Linked DNA regions of Diceros bicornis minor. The protein of the gene in region 2 interacts with the protein of the main gene of each other region in a biochemical or structural test. Links are inferred from orthologs where the notes say so. Each region holds a gene or a part of one and is shown on either strand. Other genes may lie near its edges.

What was found.
Region 1: the proteins of WDR5 (region 2) and SETD1B interact in a test that uses a peptide from one of them, tested with the Homo sapiens proteins (3 studies listed by BioGRID, with this or other methods). The link is inferred for Diceros bicornis minor from reciprocal best matches to the Homo sapiens genes WDR5 and SETD1B.
Region 3: the proteins of WDR5 (region 2) and KMT2C form a complex in vitro, tested with the Homo sapiens proteins (4 studies listed by BioGRID, with this or other methods). The link is inferred for Diceros bicornis minor from reciprocal best matches to the Homo sapiens genes WDR5 and KMT2C.
Region 4: the proteins of WDR5 (region 2) and SETD1A form a complex in vitro, tested with the Homo sapiens proteins (4 studies listed by BioGRID, with this or other methods). The link is inferred for Diceros bicornis minor from reciprocal best matches to the Homo sapiens genes WDR5 and SETD1A.

What each region holds. Positions count from the first base shown.
Region 1 is NC_080774.1:8,199,649-8,206,473, forward strand, and holds the start of SETD1B (histone-lysine N-methyltransferase SETD1B), read right to left. Parts: upstream 3,004-6,825; 5' UTR 2,795-3,003; intron 2,563-2,794; exon of another isoform or gene 2,414-2,562; intron 2,310-2,413; 5' UTR 2,296-2,309; coding exon 2,122-2,295; intron 1,919-2,121; coding exon 1,820-1,918; intron 1,200-1,819; coding exon 929-1,199; intron 1-928. UniProt on the Homo sapiens protein: Histone methyltransferase that catalyzes methyl group transfer from S-adenosyl-L-methionine to the epsilon-amino group of 'Lys-4' of histone H3 (H3K4) via a non-processive mechanism.
Region 2 is NC_080767.1:41,021,262-41,029,189, forward strand, and holds the start of WDR5 (WD repeat-containing protein 5), read left to right. Parts: upstream 1-4,911; 5' UTR 4,912-4,972; intron 4,973-5,590; 5' UTR 5,591-5,668; intron 5,669-6,973; 5' UTR 6,974-7,029; intron 7,030-7,928.
Region 3 is NC_080742.1:97,911,133-97,918,539, reverse strand, and holds the start of KMT2C (histone-lysine N-methyltransferase 2C), read left to right. Parts: upstream 1-4,400; 5' UTR 4,401-4,639; coding exon 4,640-4,800; intron 4,801-7,407. UniProt on the Homo sapiens protein: Histone methyltransferase that catalyzes methyl group transfer from S-adenosyl-L-methionine to the epsilon-amino group of 'Lys-4' of histone H3 (H3K4).
Region 4 is NC_080765.1:21,051,462-21,058,912, forward strand, and holds the start of SETD1A (histone-lysine N-methyltransferase SETD1A), read right to left. Parts: upstream 3,013-7,451; 5' UTR 876-3,012; exon of another isoform or gene 837-875; intron 688-836; exon of another isoform or gene 664-687; intron 571-663; exon of another isoform or gene 410-570; intron 82-409; 5' UTR 67-81; coding exon 1-66. Other genes in the region: ORAI3 (protein orai-3), read right to left, coding at 3,843-4,502, 7,421-7,451. UniProt on the Homo sapiens protein: Histone methyltransferase that catalyzes methyl group transfer from S-adenosyl-L-methionine to the epsilon-amino group of 'Lys-4' of histone H3 (H3K4) via a non-processive mechanism.

The DNA.
Region 1 (6,825 bases), on a different chromosome or scaffold from region 2:
CCCCTGGAAGCCACCCACCTAAGCCCTCCCAGGGGACCCCCAGGAGCTTTGGACCCAACAGTGTCTGCCCAGTCACAGGGCTGGCTGGTCCTCAGAGCACCTGGCACCTTCTTCTCTATCAGTGGGAACTTCCCTAGAGAAGCCACAGGCAAACTTTGGGGGATGCCCTAGAGTTCTTCAAGCCCCTCCAGCCAGCGTCCAGGAGGAGCCTCCCAGGACCCTGAGGGTGGGAGGTATGGCCTCCCCAGCCCAGCTCTCCCCGATTCTCCCGGCAGCCACTCAGAGTGAGTACAGAGTGAGATTCCGGTGCATGGGAGGTGGTGCTGTCTCTTTAAGAGAGAGGAGGGAAGACACAGTGTCAACCCTTGAGCACCCAGAGCAGCCCTCCCCACTCTATGGAACATGATCAATGAAACCACACTCTGGGCCCAGATTGGTTCCCACTTCCAAGGGGAAAGGGACCCTGGATCCTTAGAGGACTCTCTTTTTAGTCCAGGGACCTACTCTTTATGTATTTAACGGCATCCTGGTGGCTCTCCCTCAGCCCCCCACAAATAAACAAACACTGCCTCCTCCCCTAACACAGTTAGCAACACTGGGGACTGTCTCAACCCAGGCCACCAGGGCTGGGAGAGGGGCCCACGGGGGTGTCAGCAGTGGGGAAGCCTCCGGGTGGTCCCTGGGGGTGCAGTGGCCAAGGACTGGCACATTTGGTAAATTATAGCTTGTCTCCTAGCAACAGACAACACATTTAGCTCCACGTGACTCTACCCTCAGGAGGGGGAAAAATACAATTGGTAGGGGGCCCCCAAGGAAGAGTCAGGGGGTCCCCAACACTGCAGGAGGGGCTTTGGGAGGGAAAAGGGTCACATGGACAGGTCCCGGGGCTCCTCGGCAGTGGGCAGTCCGCAGCCGGCCTCCAACTCACCTTTGGTGTCCAGCTCCACGTGGATGATATTGCCCATGACGGAAGTGCTGTGCAGGTGCTGAACCGCCTCCTTGGCTCCCCTGACCGTGGCAAAGACCACCTTGGCAATGCCCAAGTGCTTCTTGGTCTTGGGGTTGTACAAAATCTCCACCTCCTCCACCTCCCCATACTTCTTGCACATGTCCCTCAGGAAGTTTTCGCGGATGTTATCATTCAGCTTGGCAAATGTCACCTGCTTCGGAGGCACCGGGCCCACATAGAACTCATCGATCTGGCAGGGGACGAGGGGGAAGGGAGTTTGCAGAACATTGAAACCGAAGGGAAAACACGACATTCCCCACTCGCCTGCCCGTTGAAAACAATGAAGGGGAAAAAATAAAAAAATTTTTGGGGGAAAAAAAAAATGCAGGCGGGCGGGCCCGGGAAGCGGAGGATTAAATCGTTTGGAACGTGGAAGTCCTCTGGGTTCGAAAGGAAAGGGGAAAAAGAAACAGTTTCTCTTTCCCCACCCCCCATTCTGGCCTCCTCTCCCTGCTGCCGGGTCAGGGGCGATCCCTGGGGCTAGGAAGCTGTCCCCCTAAAGCCACAAGGCTGGGAAGGGGGGCGGGTCCCGGGGCTGAGTCCCCGGGCTGGCAGGAGGCAGGTGGGGACCCGGAGCCCCCAGCTGGGCGGACAGCACACTGTATCAGCGCCCTGCTTAGTTTCACCGAGTGTTTACAGCAGCCCAGAGGGGACACCCTCTCGCAGCCGTCCCCCCCGGCCCCGCCAAAACTTCCCGGCCCGGACGGCGGGAACTCAGAATCCGGCTGGGCTCGGCCAGGACTGGCGTTATTTTCGAACTCGCGGCGCGGGGAGGGGGGGGCGAGCGCGGGTCAGGGGGAGGGGTCCTGCCTTGAATTTGGGCACCGACAGCTCCAGCTCCTTGTTTTTGGTCCAGATCCCGACGACCCGGGGATCTTCGACGATGTCCACCGGGCGGTTGCTGGACATCTGCGGGGAGGAACGGGGGGCGGAATGGGAGGGCTGGTCCCGCTCCCGGGGCCGGGGCAGACCCCCCTTCTCCAGGCACTTGTCAAACTCCGGCTGACAGTTGGCCCGGCGGTCGGGAGGGGGCCCCGGGCTGCTCGGACCCCGCTCCCGGGCCGGGCCGGGTGGGTGGGTGGGGGCGGCGGGGCGGCGCGCCGGCTACTCACCGCCAGGCTGAAATGCTGCCCATCGTAGCGGTACAGTTTATGATGCCCCTTCTTCAGAGCCGGGTCAATCATCAACTTGTAACTTCTCCAATGGTGGTTCCTCCTCTCGCCCGAAGGGCCGGGCTGCGGCGGGGGCTGCTGGTGGTGGTGGTGGGGGGGGTGACTGTTCTCCATGCCGTTAACCCAACCTGAAATCGAGCAAGTTGTTGTCGTCTCCGCCGCGGCGGCGGCGGCCGCTCTACACACACGCGAGAGAATCAAATCGTCCAGCCCCCACCCCCTCCCACCTTACCAGCGCGCCCCAAAAGGAGCTGTCTCGCTGGCTCCCCCCAAAATAAGAATGGAGCGAGAGAATAACCCTTCCGGGAGAATTAGGCGCCCGCCCGCTCGGCCACCGTCTCGGGGCGGCAGCGAGGGGCTCCCGGGGGCCCCCGGTGCGGGCTGGCGGCGCCCGGGGCGCCCGGAGGACGCGGGCTCCGGCCCATGGTGCCCGCCCGGCCGCCCGGCCGCCCGGCGTGGCGCTCGCTCGCTCGCTCGGCCCGGCTCGGGCGCGGGGCTCGCGGCAGGCCTGGCGCCGCCCGCCCGCCCGCCCGCGCGCTCGGCCGGGGCCGGGGCTGGGGGCTCGGGCTGCCCGGCTGCCGGCCGCGGCCTCTCCCCCCTGGGCCGCGCTTACATCCCCGCCGGGCGCCGGCCTCCCTGCGCCGCCAGCCAGTACATGGTGTCCCCCGCGGGAGCCGAGGCCGGGGCGGCCGGACGGGGGGCCGGGACGGGGGGGCGCCGCCGCCGCGGCTGCCGGGCCCGGAGCTGCTGCCGCCGCCGCTGCTGCTGCTGCTGCTGCTGCCCGGGAGGCGGCTGGCGGCGGAGGCTCGGCTCCCAGTAGCCGCACATCCCACAATACACCGCTAAGGAGCCCGACCCGAGCGCTCACCCTCCTCCTCTTCCTCCTCCTCCTCCTCCTCTTCCTCCTCCCCTCTCCTTCCTCGCCGCTTCCCCAGGCACTCTCCCGGCGGCGGCAGCTGCGCCGCCAAAGCCCCGGGCCCCAGCGGCCCCCCACCCCTCACTCGCGCGCTCCCACACTGCCTCCCCCCTCCCCGGGGGAAGGCCTTTTAATTTATTTATTCTGCTGGGACTTAGGTGGGGGGCTTGGCTGGCGGGGGAGGGGGTCTCCCCAGGCTCTACCTCCCGCGGCTGGGGCTACCCTCCGAGCCGCGGCCGCCGCGGCGTGCACCTCGGGCCTCCAAAACTGTTTCCAAACTGCCGAGACCGGAGGTGGGCGCGCGGGGGCTCCGGGGGAAGGGCCGGGTTTTGGGGTGTGTATATGTGTGGGATTGTGTCTTTGGACGCTGGGAGCCGTGGGGAGAGGCAAGACGACTCAAGACGAGTTGCAATCGAGGTATCTCAGCGCCGGCTTCCTCTTCTGCCCCGCGACCCCCTCCCCCCTGGAGCTGAGCTGGGGAGGGGAAACCAGGATTTTAACCAAATTAGCATTCACATTCCTGGGAGGATGCAGCCCTCGCCTGGACCTGGGTGATAGAAGCTTCTTTCTGTTTTTATTTTTGGAGAGGAGCGCCCTGTAATTGTCTTGAACACATGCTTCTGTCTCCCCCCCCTCCTTCTTCCTCCAGCCACCAGCGGAGGAGAGAGTCCCCCTTTTTTGCATTTATCTTTTCCTTCCCCTTTCTTTATTAAAGGTCCGGGAGTGGCGGCGGCCAATCAGCGCGCGGCTTCCATTTTGTGAGTTCAACTCCGAGGCTCCCGGGCTTCGCGAGGACGCATTTGCAGCCCCCTCTGCCTCTCCTCTCGGGCGGCCGAGGCGAAGGAGCCGCCTCGCCGGGGCTTCGTGGTGGTGTATTTCATATTGGGGCTCTTTTCGGGGTTTGTAATTTGGCCGTGGGTAGGTAATTGGCTGGAGCAGGGCGGCAGGGCGCGGCAGCCAATCAGCGCGCGGCTTCTATAGGGCTTGAGTTATTAGACGCTGGTCTCAAAACATCCTTCATCAGACACCAAGGAGAGGCCAACAGATGAGGGGAGCCATTTTTCTGCAATGGAATTAAATGGCCAAGTGGGTTTTTCCTTTGTTGCAAATGGGGAATGTTTTTCCTTTGACTCCACCATCCAGTTCAGGACGCCTCAGTGTTCTGTTTAACATTTGTCAACAGGCTAAAGGACTCACAATTGGAAGAATGAAGAAGACTTTTTAAAAAGATCTGGATTTTTCCTTATGACTTGGAATCCATCTTTGTCTTGTATAACTAGGTCATAGCACACCATTAATGTCAGCAGTTAACAATTTTGAATTCCAAAAAACCTAAGTAAATGACATATTTAATTTTTTTTCCTCTTTTTTTCTTGGGTGGGTGGGGGGAGCTTGGAGCTGTCTTAATCTGTATTCTCTTGACTGAACAATAAATTTTTAAATATATATAGTTTCCTCTATTAAACACTTAAACCTGGCCATCTTATTAACTCCTTCTGCTCTCTTTTTAACAAGGTAATGTTTTAAATGTATAGTTTTAGGACTAGCGAAATGGCAGCAACAAAAAAATTGTAAGCAATTGTTACTTTTAAGTTTCTAAAAACCTTTTACATTGTAAGTACCCAATCCATTCTGTCCTTACGCAGTGCAGTTTTCATGTTAATGTTGCTGAGATGTCCTTAATTTTCTGAACCTTCATCTGCATGTATGTCTTTGTCGCTCTTGTCTAATATAAGCCAGTTAAAATGCTTTTAGACGATTTTGCTTTTATAAAGCTAAGGTTTTTTAGCTTTAAGCTTTTGAAAATGTTTACAGCCATAAATGCTAGTCAGCTTTCTTCCCAGTAACATGTACACTTTCTTTGAAAATCGATCTATTTGAAGAAAAACAGCTCTGTTTTTGTCGTCTTGGTAGGGGAGTGGGTGAGGGAAAGGAAGACCTTCTCTTTGTGTAAAGAGACTAAAGCCGTCACAGGAAACTAGATTAAAACTGGAAAACAAGTCCTAGCTGGTTCGAGCCAAACACCAACGTTAACGCGGGTATTTTCTATGGTGGTTGGGATGGCCGGTGCGTCTTATGCCTTTTGTTTGATTTGACTGTGTATTTTCGCCTTTTGTCTCTTAATGACGGTCACACCATTGCTATATCCAGAGCAGTAAACAGTCCTGCGAAGCCGCCTTTTGCCAACCCAACCCTGGAAAGTTTGCAGAAGTGGAAGGAGCAGAAAATGCCATGAGAGTGTAACTTACAAAAAGGTAACAGCAACAAAAAAAGACACCACCATTCCCTCAAATATTCCCAACTAAACAATCCCCCCAAAAGATATTCAAAACCTCCGCCCCGCTTGATCTTCCAGACTCCATGGCACCGGGCTGAGCGGGTGAGTAAAAAAAAAAAAATGCCTTTTGCCCCTTCGAGGAAATCTTTTTTCGAGCAGGCCAAGGGCTGCAAATGTTTGGGAGCTGAGGAGAGAAGGAGGTTTCTGGAGCTTTATGTTTGGCAGCCGGATCGGGGAGGGGTAGGGGGACAAGGTGGGCTCTTCAAACCCTTTTGCCCCTTCTGCCCCGGAGGCGAGAGGAGGGCCTCCCCAGCGACCTCGGGCGTCCACGGGGTCGCCTGCGCTCGTCCCCCTCGCTTTTCTAGGTCTGAGCCTTGGTGTGGAGAAGAAATTAAAGTGCTTTGCAAAGGAGGGGCTCAAAAGACAGGGAAACCCACTCCCCCCCAGCCCAGGGCCTCGTTCCCTTTTGATTGGGGGGGGTCTCGCCCTCCGAAGCCGGCTTTCCGGGGCTCCGGGGCGCGCCTGCACTTCCTAAGCAAAAAGGACAAAGGCCGGCGTCCATGTTGGCACCATGACGCAGCATCTCTCGCGCCTGCAGCCCGCGCGCTGCCTGTGCTCCCGGCCGCGCTCGCTCCTCCCTGCCCAACTCGAGTTTTATTTTCAGGTTCAGAGCGGAGCCGCGGCCGGGGCCGGGCCGGGGCTGGCGGGCGGGCCGGCCAGGCTGCGGTGGCTAATGGCGGCCGCTCTCTTCCTGCCTCCCTCTTTCCCCGGTGGGCGTTGAGAGCCCGGCGCAGGTGGCGGCCCCTCGGCCGGGCCGGGCCCCGAGAGCCCGCAGCGCATAGCGCCCCGGGCCGGGGGGTGGTCGCGGAGGCCGTGTCGGGGGCCGCGGGCCCGGGGGCGTCGCGCGCCGCAGCTCCCGCGCTCACCTCCGCCCGGCGAGGCGGCCAGACGGGCGCCATTTCGCGCGCCGCCCGCGGCTCGGGCGGTGGCGGCCGCCGCGCGCCAGGCGGGAGGAGGGAGGAGGCGGCGGGCCGGGGGGAGGGGAGGCCGCCGCCTGCGAGGACGCCCCTGGCCCCGAGGCCTCGACGGCGGGCGCGGGCTCCGCCGCTGCCTCGGACCCCGCGCCCGACTCGGGGCCCCACGCGGGCACGAGGCCTCGCGCCCAAGCCGGGCGGCGGGGGCCCTTCCTCCTCCCGCGCGCGAGCCAGTAGCAGAGGGCCACGGGGCCGGGGAGGGCCTCGAGGCCGCCCCCTGACCCCGACCCGCTCCTCCGGAGGCCGCGGAAGCCTCCCCCGCGCCCCGGCCCTGCCCCCGGGCCGTCCTCGCTGCCCACCCGGGCCTGGGCGCCCATGTCTGGCTCCCAGGCGTCCTTGGATAGCCGAGCCCGAGGGGCGGAGAGCCCCTTTGTCCCCACTTTGGGTGTGAGGCCCTCAAGGAGGCCGCCGACGCC
Region 2 (7,928 bases):
TATTAGCAACCAAATTTATATTCCTTAAAAATGACCCCGTGGGGCCGGCCCAGTGGCACAAGCAGTTAAGTGCACGCGCTCCGCTGCGGCGGCCCGGGGTTCGCCGGTTCGGATCCCGGGCGCGCACCAACGTGCCGATTGGCAAACCATGCTGTGGCGGCGTCCCATATAAAGTGGAGGAAGATGGGCACGGATGTTAGCCCAGGGCCAGTCTTCCTCAGCAAAAAAAGAGGAGGATTGGCAGATGTTAGCACAGGGCTGATCTTCCTCGCAAAAAAAAAAAAAAAAAAGAGACCCCGTGAACCACTGTTGCACTGCCCCCCTCACCAGAAACCCTAAAGCCTTTGAAGAAATCCTCTGGCTTCTTGGACCTCTGATTTCCATCTGGCCTGTCCCAGGAGCTGTTTCTTTCTCACTTGTTGGGACCCCTCTCTCACCAGGGGCGCTCCGCCCAGGCAGAGGTGGGGAGGAGATCTGCAGACCGGAACAGGTGGGGCCTGGCTTTGGAAGTGGGAGCCGCGTTCCAGGGATTCCTGCTAGGCGACCCGCCCAGCCGGGCCCCCCTCCCCCTCCGTGGGCCTGGTGCCTGGAGCACCCAGCCCCACCTGGGGGGGCCGTCCCAGCAGACGCCCAGGCCTGCAGCTGGTGGAGGCTGAGGGCAGACGGATTTAGTGGTGGGGACTTGGAAGCAAGTTAGGGCAGGTTTACATCCAAGAGGAAGAGAAGCAACATTCCAGGATCCATTCATTCAGACGTCTTGACTCAGCACCCAGCGCGCGCCCCTCCCCGCAGGCACCATGTCCCTGGTGGGCTGTCCCGACTCCCGTGGGCCCACAGGAGGGAGGGAGGTGGACAAGCGAATGGACCCCGGTGAGGGCCAGGGTGCCGGCAGGGACGGGAAGGGAGAGAGGCACGGGGGTGGCCTAGGCCTGAGCCTGGGGTCCTTGAGGAAAGGACAGTTCAGGTGACTGGTCAGCTTCTCTGGGGCTGAGGGGCTGCTGGGGACGGGGGCTTTCAGTTCTAAAATGGGACAGTGCCAGGCAAACTGGACGGTCGGTCACCCTGGGGAGGGTGGAGCAGCCAGCGGGGTCACCTTAGGGGGGGTGGCACAGGAGGGGAGGTGGTGCAGGGAAGCTTACTAGCTGGTGGGAGGGAGAGGGGAGCAAAGGGAGGGCGCACGTGGGAGGGGCAAAGGTGTGGATGGAAAGAGAGAACCCCACCCACCTCAGAGAAACCCCACAGCCCACATCAAGAGCTGAGGCCTTCCTGCCCTACCTGCTCTTTCTGTACCTGGGAAACTGAGGCCGGGAGAGGAAAAGGAAGATGCTGGCGCAGTCAGGACTAGAAAGCCCTTCTGGATACCAGGGTTGAGAGTGGCCCACCTGACTCAGGTTAGGTGAAGACCCACTGGGACCTAGGTGGGCCAAACGCCTGTCCTGATGGACCACAGCGAGGGGCCGGGGAAGGGAGAGCAGAGCCCAAGGAGGGGGAAATGGAGACATAAATCTCTCCAACAGCTGCCCTGGCACAGTTACCAGGGGAAAAGGAATTTACCACAAAACCCCACTGACCTGGGCAAGAGACTTGGGGTCGCCGGGCAGAGTCAGCAACTCCTTGGAATGGTGGTCCAGCAGAGGTGGGCTGTCCAGTCTGGAGATCTGGTGAGCAGCACCTGGAAGCCCTGGATCCTGGGCACCCCCGTGTCCCTCGTCTCCCATGACGTGCCCTCATCAACTGCCGTTGGAACCCAAAGCTCTGGGCTTGGCCATTAAAGGGCCAGTGCTCCCTACCCAGCTCCCGCCTGCTGCGGGGAGCATCTCCGCCTTCCTGCCATGCAGTCTGTTTCTCTGCCACAGCCCAACAAGCCCTCTCGAGTCTGGTAGTCCACTGTTCCTGATGAAATATTTCTCATTAGGTGACAAAATACGGTTTTGCAAGAGCTTCAAGTCCTATAAGACGGTGATGTTCTTAATTTCAGCTCTGTCACTGCCATAGACTCTCACTGACTGTTCCCGTTGACACAGGCTGCTCTCTCCTGTCAAGACCCTCAGCACTTGCTTTTCACTCATTCACTCACCCATCATCTACCATGCATCCATCCACCCACCATGCATCCATCCATCCACCATTCACCCATCCTCCTACCATCCATCTATCCACTTACCAGCCATCATCTAACCATCCATCCATACACCCTTCATCCATCCATCTATTCTCCACCACCCATCCATCCATCCCTCATCCATCCATGCATCCATCCTCCCACCGTCCACCCATTCATCCATTCTCCATCCATCCAATAATACCACTGAGCCTGTATTGTATAGTCTGGTGGTTTGGAGTGTAGGCTCTGCCTTGAGCCAGTCCTGACTTCCATGGTTGTGCCTACTGCCTGTGGGTCCTTAGGCGGCTTCTCAATCTCTCTGAGCCTCAGTTTTCTCATTGTGAAAAGGAATAAAGGCACCCACTTCACAGGCTTGTTGTGAAGGTGCAGGGAGATAACATATGTAACAAACTTACTAGAGAATAGAGCACACAAGTGCCTCTCTTTCTCTTCTTCATCCCGTGCCACCTGCGAAGAGTGCTGTGACAAGGAGCCCAACACAGCTCAGCCAGGAGACGCTGAACCAGGAGTTACAACAAAAGATGTGTTTCCACTGGGGAGGAGCAGGGGGCAGTAGTCGAGAAGACTCAGCCGGTTGGGAATGAGGGGAGGAAGCTCAAGTGGACGTTGGCAGGGGAGGAGGAGGAGGGGTGCCCTGAGGGGAAGGAGATCCTGGTGGAGGGACCTGGGCTGTGCGGAGGGGGCCCAGACCAGCTCGTATTGTCTGGTTGATGGGGCAGACTTGAGAAATGTTGTATTTATAAAAATGGTTCACGGAAACACATTCCTCTACCAATTAGCTCCCACTGGCCAAAGCACAGTTAACGTTCTGAAAAAACAAATCTCCAAAATGTTTTCCTCTTATTTGTAGATTTTATTTTCTCTTCCATTTCCACTTGTGATTTTTCTGAGCCTGACTACACTTTGGGAGGCATATAAAAGGATTTAAAACCTAGACAATAAAGCAAATCACCTGCTTTTGTTAAGTTGCTTTACCTGCTGTGTTATTCAGTTTCAGGATTTTAGCTGTGACTGCAAGGGTGGGTTGCAAAAACACTCAAGTTAGGGGATCTTCTCATTTTCACTGGAAGGCTCTGTCTCCTGTGAAGATGGAGGCAAAACCAATTTACCTGGGCACCTGGTTTGAGTTCTGCGTTCTGGGCTCAGGACCCTTATCCTGCTCCACCTGGAGGGTTGGAGGACTGGAAGTACTTTCGATTTGGGGCTGTGACCCGGGTGCACAGTTTGGGGGTGGCGCTAGGCTAGAGGGGGAGGCTGGTCTGGTAAACTCCGTCAGCAGAGTGTGGACCAGGGTGGGGATGGAGAGAAGTGGATGGCTATGAGAGCCATCTGAGAGGTGATGAGGGGTATCCATGATGGGCTCTGTTTCCGGCCCAGGCACCCAGGCGGATGGAGATGCCCTTCTTCATCCTGAGCTGCCTTTGCGACTACCTTCGATAATCACCGCCTCATGCTCCAGGGCACCTGGCCCAAGGTGACTAGGCCTCCTGGGTACAGAGATCCACACGGAGCCATGCCAGGGCCAGATGGGGACTTTGCTGCCCCTGCTTCCTCCGTGGGGGGCTCCAGATAAGCCACCAGTCTTTGGCTCCTGCATCTGACAACCACACACCTCATGCACATTCTCTGGGCATTTCCATTTCAAATGCTCTGTCCTTCTGTTTGCACAGGTTCCTGTGTCGTATTTGGTGTTCCCATTTTTAATTGGGAAATAGGTTGCACGTAATTCTACCCACAGGCCTGGGTTGAGGCCATGGAGCTGCCGAGACCATCACCACTTCCCCAAGTGGGCAGCAGAAGTGGGGCAGCAGGGTGAGAATGCGCGGGACTTAGGGCCAGAACGGTGGCTCCAGGTTCTCCTCATGGCCCTGAGCCCTCCTCTCTGGCGTCCCCTTCCACATTTGTAACTGGAGGTGAGCCTACCTGTCTGTGACATCACCTTGCAGACAGCAGAGCAGCCTGCATGCAGTGACTGTTAGTATTGACTCTCCTTCTTGGGGGGCGCAGGAGAGAAGCAGGTGCGCCCCGCGGGCTCTCTGCGTGGAGGCGGGAAGAGCACCAACCAGGCAGCCGGCCCTGCGGGAGAGCTCGTGGGCGCAGTGCAGGGATTCTGAACCTTTCGGAGCTCAGGTTCCTGGCTTCAAAGTAGAAGGTAAGGACCCCTGTGCAGAGGTGTCCGAGCATTAATTGAGATACTAGGCGCCGAGCACGGCCAGGGCCGGCTAGACGCTCTGCACGCGTTAGCTGCCGCCCATCAGCGAGCGCCACAAGGAAGGAGGGACGCGATCCAGGACATGCCCATCCCAGAAGAAAGGTTAGGGCCCCGCTGCCCCTCCAATCCCGCATAGGAGCGGTGCTCCTCCCCGGAGGCGCCTCGCGGGGCGAGCTCGGGACGTGAACATGCGAGGGGCACGCTAGCCTTTCCTGTAGGTATCATCCTACTTCCGTTTTTAGAAAGTGCAGGACAAGAAGGGGACGCACCGGCCACCTTTGGCGTTCACGCTTTTAAGCAGGAAGCGCGCGCAGCACGCGGTCCCTTTAAGGCGTTGGGCCTGCCCGAGGCATTCTGCCCTTCGCCGCTCCCCGTAGCGCCCCTTCGAGAGGCTGGCTTTGTGCGCTCGCCCCGCCCCGACGCCGCCCCCCCCGGCGCACGCGCACTGCTGGCCCCGCGCCGCCCCGCCCCTGGCGCACGCGCACGCGCACTGCCCGCCCCGACGCCGCCCCGCCCCTGGCGCACGCGCACGCGCACTGCCGGCCCCGCGCCGCCTCGTCGAGCTAAGCCCGGCTCCCGCCCAGGCGGCGGCCGACGCAACGCCCGAGCGCCCGCCCCGCCCGGCGCGCCCGGAGGTAAGGGGGCCGCCCGCCCGGTGGGCACACTCGGGGGCGCGGGGCGGGCCGGCGCCGCCGCACCCCACGCCGCCCCGCCGCCGCACGTGTTGGCGGGCCCGGCCTCGGCCGCGGGCCGGCCCAGCCCCGGGCCCCGTGCGGGCGGACGGCCGCCCCGCCGCCGCCTCGCCTCGGGCGCCGCGCCCCCTCCTCCCGTCGGCCCCGGCCCCGCCCCTGCGGAGCCCGCCCGCACGCGCGGCCGCCCCCCGGCTGCCTCTCCCCGCGGTCGGTGACAAGCGCGAGGCCGGCACGGCGGCTCTGCCCTGCAGCCGGCGTGCCTCTCCGCTGTGCCTCCGCCGCTCCTCCGGGGAAGGACCCCAGGCCCCGGCCCCCCGTGCCTGCAGCCCTGACTGCCCCTCCTCTGCAGAGACGCCGCCACCCGACCTGCTGCCCACCCTCTGCCCGAGGCAGCCAGGCCCCCTCGCTCCTGAGGTCCCAGGACGGGGTCCCCGCGTGCCGGTCCGCTGTCACGAAGGGAGAGACCATCTCCTGTCTGGTCTGCTAGAGCCATTTTGAGGGAGGTGAAAGACTCCCTCTCTCCCTCCCTCCTAGCCTTCTCACCCGGTTTCTGCCCCCCAGGTCCGTTCACCGAAGCCCTGGCAGGTGCTGTGGTCGACACTGCCTCTGAGGTTGGCCCGCCCCGCACAAGGCAGATAGGTAAGCTGGAACGGAAGCGTGTCTGCGTGTCCCAGAACCGAGGCAGGGAGAGCCAGGTTCCCCCACTCTCTGTGGGTCTAAGGGGCTGCCGCCTTTGAGGCACCAGTTACGTCCTGTCTTCCCACACCTGTGGGCCCAGTCTCTGGGGGAGCCCAGGAATCTGCATTTTACAAGCAGTCTAGGAGAGCTCTCCAAGGTTTGGGAGGCTCGGCCTTAGGTGGTCAGGCTCACCTGGGAAAAAGCTGTGGGTGCAAAGAGGTGGCAGGTAGCACGTGCTCTGGGGGCCGACTCCCTATGGCCTTTCCTGCAGCCTGATTGCGTTCATCATCTCCAGTTCTCTTTCCTAAGGAGCTGGTCCCTAACCAGCTTCCCAGTTGTCTCAAAACGATTGTTCTGGGGCCCGCCTGGTGGCGTAGCGGTTAAGTTGGTGGGTTCCGCTTTGGGGGCCCAGGGTTTGCCGGCTTGGATCCTGGGCCCGGTCCTCCTCACTGCTCATCAAGCCATGCTGAGGTGGTGTCCCATGTAGAAGAGCTACAACTCTCCAACTATGATACACAACTATGTAGTGGAGCTTTGGGGAGTAAAAAGAAAAAAAGAGGAAGATTGGCAACAGATGTTAGCACCGGGCCAATCTTCCTCAAAGAAAAAGCAAGAAAAAAAGTATTAACAAAAAAGATTGTTCTACGGAATCATGAGTGTTTATGAAAAATGCCAAGCTCCCCCCTTCTTAAGTAGAAACTTGGAGCATTGAGTTAATTGATTGTATTCTTAAAAGTCTGGCTGATTTTTTGCAAGTTAATGTTTGCTAGCCTGGGATTGGGCTTGAGCTGGGAGGGCTGGGCACCTTTCCTGTAGGACCACGGCTGTAGCCTCTGGTCCTCACCTTGGGGCAGCCAGTTGTTTGCGGGAGTCACACTCCACCTCCTGGTGGGTCTCAATTTTTATGCTAAAAGGAGCTGCACTGGGTCCCCTGAGCTACCCTTTTCACCCCAGAGGAAGCCTCTTCTGTTCCCACTGGTGTTTTGCTTGGCGCCTGTGGTCCACTCTTCTCCACCCTCCTTGCTGTGGCCGGGCTTCTTCACACTGTAGGTTCTGTGAAACAGACTTTCCAGCTTTCTGCCTTAGCTCCTCTCTCCCTCCGCTTGTGCAGCCTACGAAGGGGAAGGCAGCCCTTGGGTTAACTGGCACAGCCCAGTTGCATTAAAGATAATCACCAGTAGCTGGTGGTTACTGAGCCCCAGCTTTGTGCCGACACTTCGTCCCTGGCAGGTTTCCCTGACCTGCCCCTCCGCTCCCCCACTTCAGGACTCGGGCTCTGGGTGCAGCGTGATCCGTCCCTGGGCCTGGAATCCTTGCTGCAGGTAACCAGCCGTGGCCGCACGTGTGCTCTGCACAGCCGTGTTGCATTGTGATGTCTCTTCCTTCCGCTTGGATGAAGGCTTTGAGACATGCTCTTTTTGGATGGCTCCCGTTTCGCCTTGGTGTGACGAGGAGCCTGTGCAAGCTTTCAGTGTTAAGCTCTGAGCGAGGATTCACAGTGTGTAAACTTGGTAGATTGATGGTAGTGTTGGCTTTCGGGAGTTGGATGGCCAGTGATATTTGCAAGAACAGTTTGGTGGCTCTCTTGAATAATGCTTTCCCTCGCTTCAGAATCACCCGGTGTGCTTCTATGAGATCTGTCCGAGGAATGCAACCTCTGTTCCTGTGACAGAGGAAACTGGTCACTTACTGTGCAGCTTTTGGGTCATTCCCACTGTCACGCTGAAACCCAAGTGAGCCACAGTCCCCTCTGCAGTGAGTCTTGCTTGAAGGGTATCCGTGGATACTTGAGGCTGCTTCTACAGAAGGTGAGCCTGTGGGGACTCCAGCAGGCAGGGCTGGCTCTGGTTTGGGCTCTGGTTTGTGCTTTTCGGCTGTGTCTTGTAAATGCCTCACCAGGGACAGAGAGAGAGCCCTTCGAGCTGTTTGCAGGGCTCTGGAAACAGCCTTGTGCCTGCAGCCTGTACATGGTGACAGTGAAGCCCCCAGAAGGTGTGGACTGCTGGGGCAAGCTCTTGTGTTTTCAGAGGTGGCTGTTAGCACTGTCGCATCTGAGGAGGCATTTGAGGATTTGGATGAGTTCCCAAGCTTCTGCCCTCTGAAGCTCAGTCTTCTGTAATTTGGCATGTTAGTTTCCTGAGTAGAAACCTTTGGTGGGTTTGTTTTTTTAATGGATCAAGGGCTCTTTGAAGAAAATGGCATATTGTTTGCCTGGAGTGTG
Region 3 (7,407 bases), on a different chromosome or scaffold from region 2:
AGTAGTCTTGTATGTGAATAAAGGAGAGGAACCTAAGAAAGTGTGTGTGTGTGTGAATGAGAGAGAGATAGAGGGAGGGAGGAAGAGAATTTTTAGGAGTTTATAACACTTCTGGCAGAATGTTTTCTATGCCTCTTCTAAATAGACATAGCTGGCGGACTCCTCTCACCCCTACCCTTCCACCTAAACCCCCAGATGCACTTCTTTTAAAACTATGGTCTTGTACACAATGGATGTAAATATTTAATCTTTCTATTTGTACGTTTTTCCATGTGTATTTTTCAGTTGCCTGCTTGCCCTTTTTGTATTTATCTTGTTAAGTAGTGCCAGGCTCAAAGTATAGACCCCTACAGGGCAAGATCATATCTACATAAAATGTGCAGCAGAACATCTACTGATGCCTCAGGCTCTTATACAGAAATTATTTTTGAAGGTGATTGTTCTGTTTATTTCCTTCTTAGTTTCTTCCTTTAATCTTTCTGTCACACAGGTACATGGTATACACTACTGAAATAAATAAAGCAATATATGAATTTTTATAGCTAAAAACGCACTATGGACTAAATATGAACTAATTTTAAGTGATAGAAATTCTTTTAAATAATTTTATTTATTTATTTTTTCCCCCAAAGCCCAGTAGATAGTTGTATGTCATAGCTGCACATCCTTCTAGTTGCTGTATGTGGGACACGGCCTCAGCATGGCCGCAGAAGCGGTGCGTTGGTGCGCGCCTGGGATCCGAACCCGGGCCGCCAGCACCGGAGCGCACGCACCTAATCTCTAAGCCACGGGGCCGGCCCTAGAAATTCTTTTAAAACATTTTTTCTACTGAAAAATAAAGGATGAAAAATGATAGCCTATGATGGCAACTTTTTAAAGTGTAACTTTAATAGTAAAAATATGAACACAAAAATTATAAGATCTAGAATTTACATTTTCAGTGTTCCTTCTGCAACTATAGAAGTTTGGTTCCCAAAAAACTCTAAGGAATTTAAGACTTTATGGGAAAACAAAAAGAGAGGGACAACATTTAGTAGTGAACCTATGGGAGAGCCTTTTAAATATTTTTACATTCACTAAAACAAAGCAATAGAGAGGCCTTCTAAATAAAGACTCTATCAATGACATTCTAGGCCTGCAATTAGTAAGAATGGGTACTGTACTTTGAGTTTTTATTCACTGTCACTTGTTTGCTAGACTCTTTGAGACTCTCCTTTGCTTAGTTTCATGAGATGCTGCTTTTTCTTTGTTGCAGATAAGAACCCTCACCTCCTACCCACATTTTAAATATTTAATATATATTTCTGATTATATTACGTGTGCTCTGATTCAAATATTACAGGAAAATGTAATATAGAAAGTGAAAGTCCCTTGTATTCCAGCCCTTCAGAGGTGATTGCTGTTATCACTTTGGTGCACATCTACCATATTTTAAAAATGCCTATTTAACATGTGTTCTTATTATTTTTTTTTGGTGAAGAAGATCAGCCTGAGCTAACATCTGTCACCAAGCCTCTTTTTTTGCTGAGGAAGACCGGCACTGGGCTAACATCTGTGCCCATCTTCTCCACTTTATATGGGACACTGCCACAGCATGGCTTGATGAGCAGTGCAATGGTGCGCGCCAGATCAGAACCCTGGGCCACCATAGTGGAGTGAGCGCACTTAACGGCTACGCCACCGGGCAGGCCCCACATGTGTACTTCTTATAAAGTAGACATTCTAACTTTTTCCTTTTTTTTTGCATTTGGTCCTTCCAGATGCTCATGCCTTTCTGATTTTATAATTTTGAGGAAATTCAGCTACCTGCTTCCTGGATTTTTGCCATTGTGGACTCAGAGCTGTGAGATTTGGATAACGGAGATGTGAAAACATTTATTTATGATGAATAAGTATTCCTTGACTATTTCCTCTGCATCCTGGGTTATATTTGATCTGCTCTGCCTATGATAACTTCATGCCGATGAGCCTATCGATCCTTTTAAAACAGATCCCATTACTTGTCTGCTCTCAGTAGCCAAAGAAATGGAGATTTAAGGCCGGGGGTAGTCACCTTTATCATCTTTTATCTTTCCGGAAGCATCACTCCACAAAGCTCTATTTCTACCCTACCATTCATTCTACCCACTTTTCTGTTCTCAGTCCCCAGTCATTTCCTTTTAAAACCTCTCTCCAGCAGGAGTGACTTGCAAATTGCACATACTGACACTTAAATTCTCCCAAGTGCTGAAGAAGTAGACTGAAGGAAATTATCCTGATACATAATTTTGTGCATGGGAAGCTCACAGTTGGAAATGACTGATCTAATTTCAGTATTGAACACAGATAAACATTTGGATCAATAATGCAATTTTTGAAAGTGTACTTTATTTAAAGTGTAATGCGCAGAAAAAAATTGAAAAAGAAAGGGTAATAATAAACTTTAAATATACCACTGCATAAGTTTATCATTAGTCATGTGTATATTGTATTTCTGTGTATAATAGTTAGGCACTTTTAATTTATTGTTTGTATTTACCAAGCCAGTTTCTCCCCAGTGTGAAAATTCCCGTGGCTGTAAATTTAGTAAATTTGAAAAATCCAGCAGGGGTTAAACCCTGAAGGAATTCAAATGACTGTCTTATTATAGTCCTCATTTCAAAAAACTATGCTTTTAGTCAGAATAGGCTCTGGAAATCAAACTGTGTATATTTTGCCCAAATAGGAAACACAATGCAAAGTGTGTATTCTGGTTATTGGAAGGAAAGGAAGGCGAACAACATAGCTGGATAACCAGCATATTTTTTTCACTTTATACTAAAACTGTGTTGTGAAGATGGAAAAAAATCATAATCAGAAGGTGCCTAGTGTGTCCGGCCTAGAGTGTATGCTTATTAGATGATAGTTTATCCTAATCCTTTTGCAAGCAGTTGAGAAGTCTTAATATTTTTCCCCAATTCAAATCTATAATTTTTTCATTCCCATACACTAATCAATAGTGAATGGAAAGGAGAGCACATTGTCTATTAGAATAAGGAATCTAGAATTCCACATCTGTCACTGTTCTTCTTGAGAAAGTGCATATTTCAGATTTCTTATTCTAACCCCATTTTTCTCTTACCATTTTTACGTAGTATGAGAGGTGGCTTATAAGTACTTCAATTTTTGACTCTTCATCACAACACACTGAACGTTAAAATCAAGTGTTGGGGTTTTTACTGGTTTATTATGTCTTTCAGCGTTTTATTCCTCAAAATGTCTTGGTTCTTTTTGTCTGACAGCTTGGTAAGCCCTTTCTGGATCATTTTTTAAATGACGTTGTAATAACGAAACTATCGCTGGAATTGGATTACAACGAAGTTGCACTCCATTTCTTTTTCTCCACAGACACGCACGAAACCCAAAGAGCCCTGCACGCGGCGTGCTGAGGTCCTCCGGGCGCCGGCTCCACACTCGGGGTGGGCGTGGGGCACCCGCCGGCGGCGCGCCCGAGGGCAGCCTGCGCTTCACCCCCCCGCGCGTCCCGGGAGACCGAGCGCGTCCGGAGCGAGGACGCGGCCCTCCTCTTCCTCCCTCGCCCTCCGCCTACTGCCTGGACCCCGATCCCGGACGCCTCCTCCGCAGCTTGGCGCTCTCCTGAGCCGGAGCCGGAGCCGGAGCCGGAGTCGCCGCTGCCCGGCCGCCGCGTCAGAGGAGGAGGGGGCGGGGGCGGGGGCGGGGGAGGGGCGGTGAGGTCAGCGGCGGCGAGCGTCCGCGGGCGGCGCATGCGCGGAGCGAGCCCCGTGAGTGGCAGCGGCGGCGCGCGGGTGGGGGAGGGGGAGGGGGCGTCGAGCGGCCGTGTGTGGGCTAGACGCCGGCCAGTTTGGGAGGTCTGTGGTGCCGGGCGCCCGGGGGAGACCCGGCGCGGCCCCCGCGCGCTGGCCACGGTCGTGTGTGCGCGCGTCTGTGTGTGGTACACGCACACTCGCAAAACTTCCTCCTCCCCTGCCCAGAGGGCGGGCGCGGGCGGAGGGGCCGGCGCTCGCGCAGCCCGGAACCCACAACAACAACTGGAGCAGCTGTCAAAACTTCGCCGCCGCCGCCGCCCCGCCTGACGCGGCCCGCGCTGGGGAGGGCAGCCGGCGGAGACGCGACCCCCGCCCGCCCGTCCGCCCCGCGCCGGCCCCGCGGGCCCTGCGCTCCCCGCGCCGCGGCCCTTTTCCCTTCCCCGCCGCGGGCGGCCGGGCGGGCGGGGGAGGGGCGCGCGGGGACGCGGGCCGGCACCCGCCGCCCCTCAGGGCCCGCCCCTCCCCGCCCGCACCGCCCGGCGTGGCCCGCACCGCGCCCGGCCCCCGCCCGCGCCCCGCCCGCCGCCGCCCGCACCTCCCCGCCCCGGCCGGCCGGCCCCTCCCTCCGCGCGCCCCGCCCGCCGCCCCCCGCCCGGCCCCTGCGCGCCGAGGTGCGCGCGCCCGCGCCTATGTGTGTGAGTGCGTGTCCTGCTCGCTCCATGTTGCCGCCTCTCCCGGTACCTGCTGCTGCTCCCGGGGCTGCGGGAAATGCGAGAGGCTGAGCCGGGGAGGAGGAACCCGAGCAGCAGCGGCGGCGGCGGCCGCGGCGGCGGCGGCGGGAGGAGCCCCCCCGGAGGAGGACCGGGATCCATGTGTCTTTCCTGGTGACTAGGATGTCGTCGGAGGAGGACAAGAGCGCGGAGCAGCCGCAGCCGCCGCCACCACCCCCCGAGGAGCCCGGAGCCCCGGCCCCGAGCCCCGCAGCCGCAGACAAAAGACCTCGGGGCCGGCCTCGCAAAGATGGCGCTTCCCCTTTCCAGAGAGCCAGAAAGAAGTAAGTTGAGTGTGAGCGAGCCAGGCCGGGAGCCAGCCGCGGCGCCGGCCCGGAGCTGTCACCGGCGCGCCCGCCGCCGCCGCCCCCGGCCCCGCGCGCCCCCGGCCGCCCCCGCGGTGGGGGTGGGGCCGCCGCCGCGCGTCTCCGGCCCGGCGCCCGCCCGCCCCGGCCCCGGCCCCGGCCCCGCGCCGCCCGCCCGCACTCCGCCCGCCGCTCGACGGCCGCGCCGCCGCCACACTTTACTTTTAAGTTGGGCCCCGGCGCCGGGGCCTCTGTGTTCGGAGCGATTTCTCGTCGAGCCTTGCGCCTGGCTGGGTCTTTAAAAAGCCAGCCCGCAGCACAGCCAGGGAGTCCCGGGCGCGGGACCCTCGCCGAGCTGTCAAACGCGGCGGCCGGGGGGGCTCCGGCCGGGGGCGGGGGGACCCGGCGGAGCGAGCACCGGTCCTCTTTGTCGGCGAGTGGCTCCGGTAACTTTTCCTGCTGCCCGGCCTCCCCTTCATCCCTGAAGGGGACATTAGGAAGTCGTTGGACTTCTCCCCCCACCCCGGGCCGCACTGCCCCGCACCCAGAAGCCCACCTCCGGGGCACCGCGCCGCCGGGGGTGGGAGGGCGGGAAGTTTGGGAGGCGCAGGCCGGCCGTGAGAGCACGTTGGCCCGGGGCGAGTGCAGGCGGGAGCGGCCCGAGCCGGCGTGGAAGCGGCCACCCGCGCCGTGGCTGCGGCAGGAGGAGGTTTCGTTTGCGTCCGAGCACACATTAGGGCGGAGTGCCGAGGTCGCTCGATGGCTAGAGCCGTCCTCCTGCAAAATGGTTATCCGGCGACTTTGCCTGGAGATGAAGAAGCCCGCGGCGGTGTCAGTGAGTCGCCCGGCTCCTGCGGCTCCCGAGGGTGCTGTGGAGGACCTGTGAGTGTCTCGCCAAGTTGTAGAATGGCGTGGATTGCTTACTCATTTCATTATGTGATCGTCTCGTTGAGCTGTCGGTAGTGGAACGGTGCGGCGCACGCGGAGGAAAGCAGCCAATTTATGGACAGTCCGGGTGTGTTTGTTGTTGTTGGGGTGCGCTCATTTAGTAATGATGTTGTTGCGTTTGGTGATATATAGTAAAAATGTAGTGTTAACCGAGGCAGAGAGAGCGGGGTGTGGGAACCCCGCGAAACCCTTGGCTGCATGTAGTCTCTCCTTCTTTGCTGTCCTTTTGCTATGAAAATGATTCAGGCCTTCAACTTGCCTCCATGTTTTATTGCCAGCTCTTACCTAGCTGTGACAAACAGTGAGGGAAACAAGTACAGGATGTAAACATTATTACATTAGCTCCTTTGTGAGACAGAGTTAGGGTCTGTTAGGCCACTTGCGTTGTAGTGTAACGTCTGGTGTAAAATGCCATTATTATTTCTGTATTAACTGAAATTGGGAGAAGGAAGGTGGAGTTTTAGGCAACTTTAAACTTTTTTGCCACTTTTTTGTATTCTTTAAAGCGACACATATTAAGCCACATTAGGGTTTTAACTTGGTTGCTTCCCATTTTCACTATTTGGAAAGCATTTCTTGTTTTTTTCTGAACGTTGATTTGAGATTATCATGTTTTAAATTCCTACTCTAGAAAGAGTAGACCTAGCAATGTTGTCAACGCCCCTCACCCCCCCCCCCCACTTCCCCTGAGATTGAAATGAGCTCATTTGTATTAGTGCAACTCCTGGGTGCACCGGAAGAAGGGCTGATTTAGGGTAATACCACTTTATTATTTTAATGTTTATCATATTATGAGTGAAGAAGAAGGTAGCCCTTGCAGAAAGTAAAAAGTTTCTGCAGAATGACGGTAATCTAACGGTATAAAAACATTAACACTTTGGAAAATGTTTAGAACAATTCTAAATCTTGAGTGTTTTCTCTTTTAGATTTGAAAACTGGTACAGCATTCCTTATAGGAAATTAAGTCTAGTGGTGACTTTGATCGTTCCAAACTGTTTAGTGAATTCTTTAAAATCATGTGTATATTTTGAAGGGAATGGAATCTCCAATTGTTTTAGAAACATGTAAATGGAAACTAATATGTCAAATGGAAAGCAAAGAGAAGGGTTTTCAGTTGTGTATCTGTACACAATATTAGGATACATGCAGAAAAGACCCCTTAGTTAGTTGGGTAGTGTAGACCCTGAAAGTGAAACTGATGTGTAACAAATGTAAATTAGGTTTGTAAATGCTAAAATTATGTGGAGTTGCAAATAGTTATCTAAGAAATGAAAATTAATATTCTTTGTGAAGTGCAGTGGAGATAAAAGTTTTTAAATTGTCATTGTCATTTAGATGGTCACTAAGTGGGTTGTTTTACCCTAGGGAAGATGCCTTATGAAACTATTTTTTAAAAGTAGATTTGTATATTTGTCTTTGGGTTAAAAAAAAAGGTAACCATGCACTGCTAATTACACTTTGTTTGAATTTTTAAATTTTTAATAATTAGGTAAATAAGCATTTTCTTGTTTTATAGTGTTATTTAGATAATTTTTATATTTTAGCATATTTAAAAAGCATAGGTTATGTAGTTACTGGTTTTACATTAACTATTATTATTTTAAAATTATGTTTCCTACCTAAAATCAAGAATTTTGA
Region 4 (7,451 bases), on a different chromosome or scaffold from region 2:
GAGCTTATAGTTCCGCCACTGAAAGCTCGGGGCCTTCTGCCCATCTCCCCCACCTTCCTGATCCATCTTTGCTCATTTACACTGTTAGAAAAGAGGAATACACAGGGGTGTTCAAGACTTAGGCCTGACTCCCTTGCTGCCCCTTACCGACTAGCCCAGACTCCAGATTCTCTGATCACCCCAGTTTCCACACCTCACCATGACCCGTGGCTCCCCCAGATTTTCCCCCAAGTACCCTGTTTCCCACAACACCTCATTCTCTCTCCACCTCCCAACTCTCCCCTCAGGCCCCCAAGCCCATCTCGCGCCCCCTTACCTTCCCGCTCTCCCTAGCGCGCGCCCCACTTGGCCTCCGCGCAAGACCCTTCCCCCGCCCCCTGGCAGGCCCCGCCCCCTCCCGCCTCCTCACCGGCCAGCGGCCCGGGCCAAGCCCGGGTCCCGCTCCCACACACCCGCTCTCGTCCCCGCGCCCCGATCTTCTGGCCAAGAGGTGGCACCTCTTCGGGGCGTTGGAAACACCGCGAGACCGAGCCCGAGACCCGGCTGCGGCCCCGAATCGGGGCGGGGGGGTGGTGAAGGGAACGCGCGCCGCTGCCCTCTCCTCCCGCCCCGGCGCGTTCTGCCCCCCCCATCTCCGCGCACGCGCGGCGCGGCCCCACTCACCCGCTCGTGGCGAGCGGTTCCCCCTCCCCCCACCCCGCGCGGCACCTTAGCGGCGCGAGGCGGCGGCGGCGGCGGCGGCGGCGGCAGCGCGAGACCCGGCCCCGCAGCGGTGGCGGCGGCGGCGCCCCCCCCCCCACCACCTCCCCGGCGCGCGCACCAAACACCACCGCCACCTGCGCGAGGCCCAACGGGCACAGCGTCTACATTCGCACTTTCGCCACGGGTGCCGCCGGGAGACCCACGGGGCCGAGGATAGCGGCTTCGCCTCGACCGGTGCCCTATAAGGCTTGCGAGTTGCGGCCCAGGGAGCCTGAAGATTGGCCGCATCCCCCGGAGAGTGGGCTTCACCACGACTATCCAGCTGCTCTGGACTGGGGTCCTTGACGAATCGGCGGCGACGAAAGCAGCGACTAATCCCTGAGGAAAAGGGGGCGGGGCGGAGGGGAAGAGGCCAGCCAGAGCTGGGGAGATTTGACTGGCGCGTTGAACAGGCGCAGATTCGTCAAGCGGGCGGGGCGAATCGGTGGACAGGATGCGCGCTCCTTTGCTCGTCTTTCCGGCCCCTTCCTCGGGCGGCCAAAGGTCTAAGAGGCTGCAGATTCGCCACAAGTCCTGGCCTCAGCTGTCGCCTCCCTTCACCCGCGTTGATGGAGTCAAGAAAATAACGGCTGGTTAGCCAAGCCCTGTTGGCAGAGTTGGCCAATTTCTCTGGATCTTTCTTACTAGCACAACTCAGAGGACTGCCCAATTCCGACCCGGGGGAAATGGCTACGGCCCAAAGGTCCTCTCGGAGTCCGATGAGAATTTTTCGGCGGAGTATAGAAGGCCCCGAGCAATTCTGAGGAGGAGCCGGCCTAGCGAATTTGTGAATTCTTCTGTGGGCGGGGCCAAGGCACAGCGCGCAGAGGGCGTGGTCAGCGTGCGGAGCCCGGTGTCGTGCGGGCGCTTCCTGTAGGACCCACTGAAACCGGGGCGGGCTGGGAGGGGCGCCCGGGAGGTGGAAAAATACAACCAGCAGCGGTGACTCAGGCCGTTTGCCCGGCGCTGCACATAATGCAGGGAGCGTTTTCCTCCCGTTATCCCCCTTGGGCCTCTAGCTGTCTAAGGTGCCCATTTGACAGATGGGGAGACTGAGCCTCGCAGAAGATACCGCATTTTGCACGTACTGGGCCTACTATTAGTGATTAAATCCGAGGCTATCTCAAAGCTCTGTGGTAAACTTGATGGGGCCTAAAGACCCTTGAACGGGTCCTGTAAAAAATAATAAACTAGGTCCTACAGGAACTAGGGTGGGCTGGTCGATTCTCCAGGCATCGTGGTCCCAGTGCCCGCCGTTTTCAGCCGTGTGCCCCCTATGTTTACGCGGTCCCACCGCTCGAGGGCAGCACCAGCCCAGGCTTACACCTGGGACCCTGGGGCTGAAGTCGCCCTGATGCTGGGCACCCTTTTTCTCCGTTTTGGAAGCAGGGTATCCTGGTCTCTAGGTAATGGCATTCCCAGGAGGCACCTCTGCCTGAGCTGAAGATGCCCTGGGTTCCAGACATCTCTGCGTCAGTCCCTCGCTGTGTGACCTTGGGCAAGTCATTAACCTCCCAAAGCTTCAGATTCTTTCTCTGAAAATGAATGTTAATTCCTGTCCTGCAGGTCTATTGTAGGCATCAGAACAGTGCAGGAAAGGCCCTTGAAGCCTGGTTCATGCAAATTCACCATTTTAAGTAATAGGAAAAGAAAAAAAGGAGGACTTGCCCAAGATCTCACACCATAAGAATAGAAGAGAGAGGATTGGGACCCTTTAAAATTTTGAAGAAAATGAGGCTGAAAAAATAAATTTGCATGGAAGCATGGGTGATGAGATCAGATGCCTTTCTCTTGTCCCAGCTGAAAGGTATTTGCTCCTTTTCTCAAACAGACTTCATGTGACAGTAAAGGTAGTCCAGGTTTTCATTGACTAGTTGTGTGGCTTTGGGCAGAATCCTCAGCCTTCTTGGGTCTCAGCTTCCTTATCTCTGAAATGGTAATGATAAAGACTTGTCTCTTGAGGTGGTTGTTAAATAAAATAAATTAGGTACGTTAAAAAAGATAACCTATGAAAAGCTCCTAGTAAGTAGTAGTCACTCAAGAAAGAAACTTAAACTAAAAGAAACATATTAAATCCTCAATGGAAGAGATAAAAGATCCTGGGCTCAAGGACAAGAGGCAAAAGCCTTTAGCCTTAGAGTAATGCGGTCTCCACATTCAGAAGCTACTGGTCCCTGTCAGCACCAGAAGGGAGTCATACCTGGTACCCTCTCTCTCCCACCCCCAGGTACACTTGCCTCCATCTGACTCTTAAGGAACAAGTCACCTGACCCCAAGGAGGCCTCCCGTTCACCCCATTCACAGCCACAGGGACATCTGTGAAACACAATTTATTATACAAAACAAGGTGCATCAAAAATTCAGTGTCAGAAGAGCTCTGTATTTCAAGGACTAGGGACTGGACCTTCTCCCTTAAAACCTCCTCACCCCAACCCCTGCTAGGGAGTCAGGCTGGACACGTAGACCCCCAGCCCTGGTCCAGGAGAGTGAGAACCAGATATAGAAGCGTAAGTGTGGGTCTAGGGCAGTGGGGCAGGCACTTGAACCTCCCAAAATAGGGAGGCTCTTCCTGGACCTATGCCTGGGGTAAAAACACCCAAATCTCTCTCTACAGCAACTAAAGCAAGAGTGTAAAACCCATCAAAATCTGAGGATGGGGAAAACTTCCCCAGAAATGCCAACCATAAAACAGATTCTACAAAAATAAAGCAAGAGTTGGCTGCCTTCTGGGGCAGCTGGGTGGGCGTGTAACCTTCTGACCTCCACATCCTGTATAGCGGCGAGTGGATAAGGGTCAGCACCAAAGGTCTGACCAGGGTCTCCTTGCCCTCCCCTCCGCCTACCGCAGTGGCCTCGGACTGAGGCCCTCCACCTCCTCCCAGCCCAGCTGTAGAGTAGAACTTAGAAAACCTATAGGACCGACTGATGGAGAATCCCTGGGAATGTGGGAGCTGCCCCAAGGCCCAGCCCAAAGGACCCTGAGAGCAGAAATCTGGTCTCTACCTGAGAGTGGCCACAGGAAGTGTCTCCAGGCAGGGGCAGGGATGGGGTCTGCAGACCCCTGAGGGAGGCAGTGCTTGCAGCTGGGGCTCACACCAGCGTCACACAGCCTGCAGCTCCCCCTGCAGGCGACTTAGCTCCTCTAGCTCTTGCTTGTGGCGGTCTGTCTTGTGTGCCACCAAAGAGCGGTAGAAATGCAGGGCGAAGGCCACGAACACAAGCCCTACAGGTACCATGATTGCCGTGGAGGCCATGGCTGCTTGCCAGCCTGGTCCATGGGCCCCGCCCCCACCACACACTTGCCGGGGTGGGCAGGCCTCAGATGGCTCAGCCTGTGACGGGGCTAGAGAAGCAGAGGACGGCTTGGAAGCTGGACTAAGGGAACTGGTCACTGATGGCAGAGTCCCAGGCACCTGGGAGGCAGGTACCACAGGGGCTGGCGTGCCCAAGGGGGCCCCAATGGGCACAAACTTGACCCAGCCAACCAGGACAACTTCAGCGAGGAAGAGGAAAGTGCCCAAGGCAGTGGAGAAGCCCCAGGCCAGCTCCACGTAACGGTGGAGTCGCTGGTGTGGAGACTGGTGGACAGAGTTGAGGTTGTGGATGTTGCTAACGGCTTCAATGTGGGGCAGCAGACACGTGGAGACCATGAGTGCAAAGAGGTGCACCGCTACTAGCACGGTGGTGCAGGCACTAAAGGCCACCAGCAGGCCTGGTGGGTAGTCGTGGTTGCTCTCCAGTTGCACCTCCACCATGGCCACCTGTGGGGACAAGAGGAAATAGATTGAGTGCCCATAACCTCCTCAACAGTACAGGAGTTTTTGCCTGTTGGTATACATCACTGATGTATCCCTAGGACCTAGAACACTGCCTGGCAGAAAGAAGGCACCTAGCCTTTGTTGAGCGAGTGAATGGGCAGCACTGCCAAGGCTCTGTCCTGTTCTGGGCCTTGGTTTCCACACTAGGCTATCAAGAGGGCTGGATGACATTTCTGACAATCTTACCTTGTTATAACACAGGGGTTAAAAAGCACAGATTCTGGGGCTGGGCTGCCTGGGTTCATTCTCAGCTCCACAAGCTATGTAATCCTGAGCAAGTGACTTAGTTGTCTCTGTGCCTCAATTTCCTCATCTGAAAAATGGGGACTGATAATAGCATCTACCTGCCTTATAGGGTTGTTGTGAAAATTAAATGAGATAATATACATCAAGTGATAAGAATAGCACAAGGCACATAGCAAGCACCGTTTGCTGTTATTATTTAGAGTGGACTCTGAAAGTCCAAGGCCAGAGTTTGCACACTGGCACACCGTGAACCCAAGCCAGCTTACAGACATGTTTTGCTTGGCTCATGCAGTGTGTTTTTTAAAGAATTAAGTTGCCAACTTTTAAAACTCAAGAGATTTCATATAAATATGCCTATTTCCAGATCCTCTTGAAAATTTGCAAGATCTGGTTACACCAGGCCCACATTCCTGCATGGCAACTATCAGCTAGAGTTGTCATGGCTGCTCCCTTTGAACAGGCCATGGGGTCTCTTGATAGCCACAGGCCCCACCCAGCCAACTTGCTGTCCATATTACCTGCCTGGCCTTTGCAAACATTTAAGTTGATGATCCTGTTCTAGGCTTGTATAAATTTGGACTCTAGAGCCAAGTTCAAATCCTGCCACCTCCTTGCTGTGGGACCCTGGGCAGGTGTCTTAACATCTCTGATCCTCAGTTTTCTCATCTGTAAAATGGCCATAGTAGAGGTTCCTACTTCATAAGATAATAGAAAGATGATGTACATAAAAGCCCTAAGTACAATGCCTGGTACTTAGTGACAGTTCAATACAACTTATATAGTGTTATTCTAACCTAAGCCACCTGGATCTTTCCCCACGCCTGGTTCTTGCAGGATCCATTCGATTGCTCTGGGCCTGGGAGAAGGAAGGTGCAGAGCCTGGAGGGTGGTAGTAGGAAGACAAGGCTGAGTATTTTGGGAAACTGGGCCATGGCGGGTGTCAGCAGGTGGTTTCCATAGACAGGGATCTGGGCCAGGCCTAGTCCTGGTTTCTCCCAGAGCTTGACCCAGCCTTGCACTCCCTTGGCAGGACTGGGGCCAGTCCTGCCCCCAGAACTTACTCATCTGGCCTCTTGATCCTGCAGAGAAGGTCCTGGTCCTTAAGCTGTTGCCCCAGCAACCTGCAAGTCCAGTAGCAGGCCGGATTGTGCCCTTGGGAACAGGCTGGACCATGGGGTAAATGGGGGTGGGGGACTCCCTCAGCTAGGTCCACGGGGCTGTTCCCTTCTCTCTGCAGTCTGTACAGGGGAAGGGGAGTCAACTCCCTGTCCCTCGATGACCCCACATCAGGAAGAGTGGGCTGGCCTGTGGATCCTGGGCTCCCACACAGAAAACCATAGACTTAAGATGACCCTAAGGGATAGAGACTTTCTCTCTCATCGTTCAAGTACAGAGACTGTGGCACAGAGAGGGACGAGGGACTAACCAAATCACCTAGTGCTATGATCCCTCTATCCTCATCTGGACCACCCCCAACCCCTGCAGGAGCTTGTTCCTATGAGGACCCCCCTCCAGCCCACTTTCTCCTTCTTCCTGTCATGATGGTGGGGAAACACTGGACTAACAGTCCAGTGACCCTGGGTCCTATTCCATTCTATATCCTTCATCTGCTGAGTGCTCTTGGCAGAGCCACTGCCCCATTCTGTGCCTTGGTTTCCATGCCTGTCCAATTATCAGGTAGTCTGAGCCATCTCTGATGTGTGTCTTGCTCTGACATGCTTGGATCTAGGGTTTGATGACAAGAATCACAGCTCATCCTGGGGTGGGCACTTGGCAGGCTACAGAGGGCGCACCCTCTGTGATCTCACAATTTCCCACTGGCCTGCAAGGGGGTGGAGGCCTGTCCAGAGTCACATAGCTGGCCACAAGCAGGGAGGAGCCAGGACTCGTGCCTGCTGACTACTCCTCACCCTAGGACCTCCCTCAATCCCACTTCCTAGGAGGCCTCTGCTGGGACTATTAGCTGATATCATCCGCCCACACCTGCAGTTTATCAGCTTAAGAATCATGTATCAGCTTCCTAATCAGTTTCTTTCCCTAGCCGCTTCCTTTCTTTTCAAAGCCTCCCTGGGCTATGCTAAGCCTTCTTTGTGCCTGCTGGGTACTAGCTGCCCTCCTTGAGATGGGCCCACCTTCAGTTGGGTGACCTTTCCGCCCAGCTTACCCTCTCTGACCACCCCCAGCCCTAGTCCTGTTTATACAGCCCCCACCCAGCTCTGATTTCCCTTTGAATCTCTCATGGGGACCTAGTAATCACTTCTGCCTGGGCTAAGCTCCTTTTGGACCTCTTTGTCCCATCTTTGCATATGTTATCCCCTTTGGTGATTTGTCTACCCCCATGACATGACTTGTGTCCCCCATGAAACTTCTGTGACTTGCTTATCCCTATGGCCCATTCTACTAGAGATCTGCTTACATACAAATACACACCCCCCACTCCCCAAAAAGGGACTTGTATAGTCCCTTGGACCTTGTTTGTTCTCTTCTTTTACCTTAGAACCCCATCTTTTCCTTGCCTCTGTCCTCTCTCCCTTGAGTATCCGTTCACTTCGCCAACGGCTCCGTGCCCCCCATGTGCCTCACCCCCACCCTGTGCGCCCCTTCCCTCCCCTCACCATGGCGAAGCCCGAGAGCAGGGCAGACGTG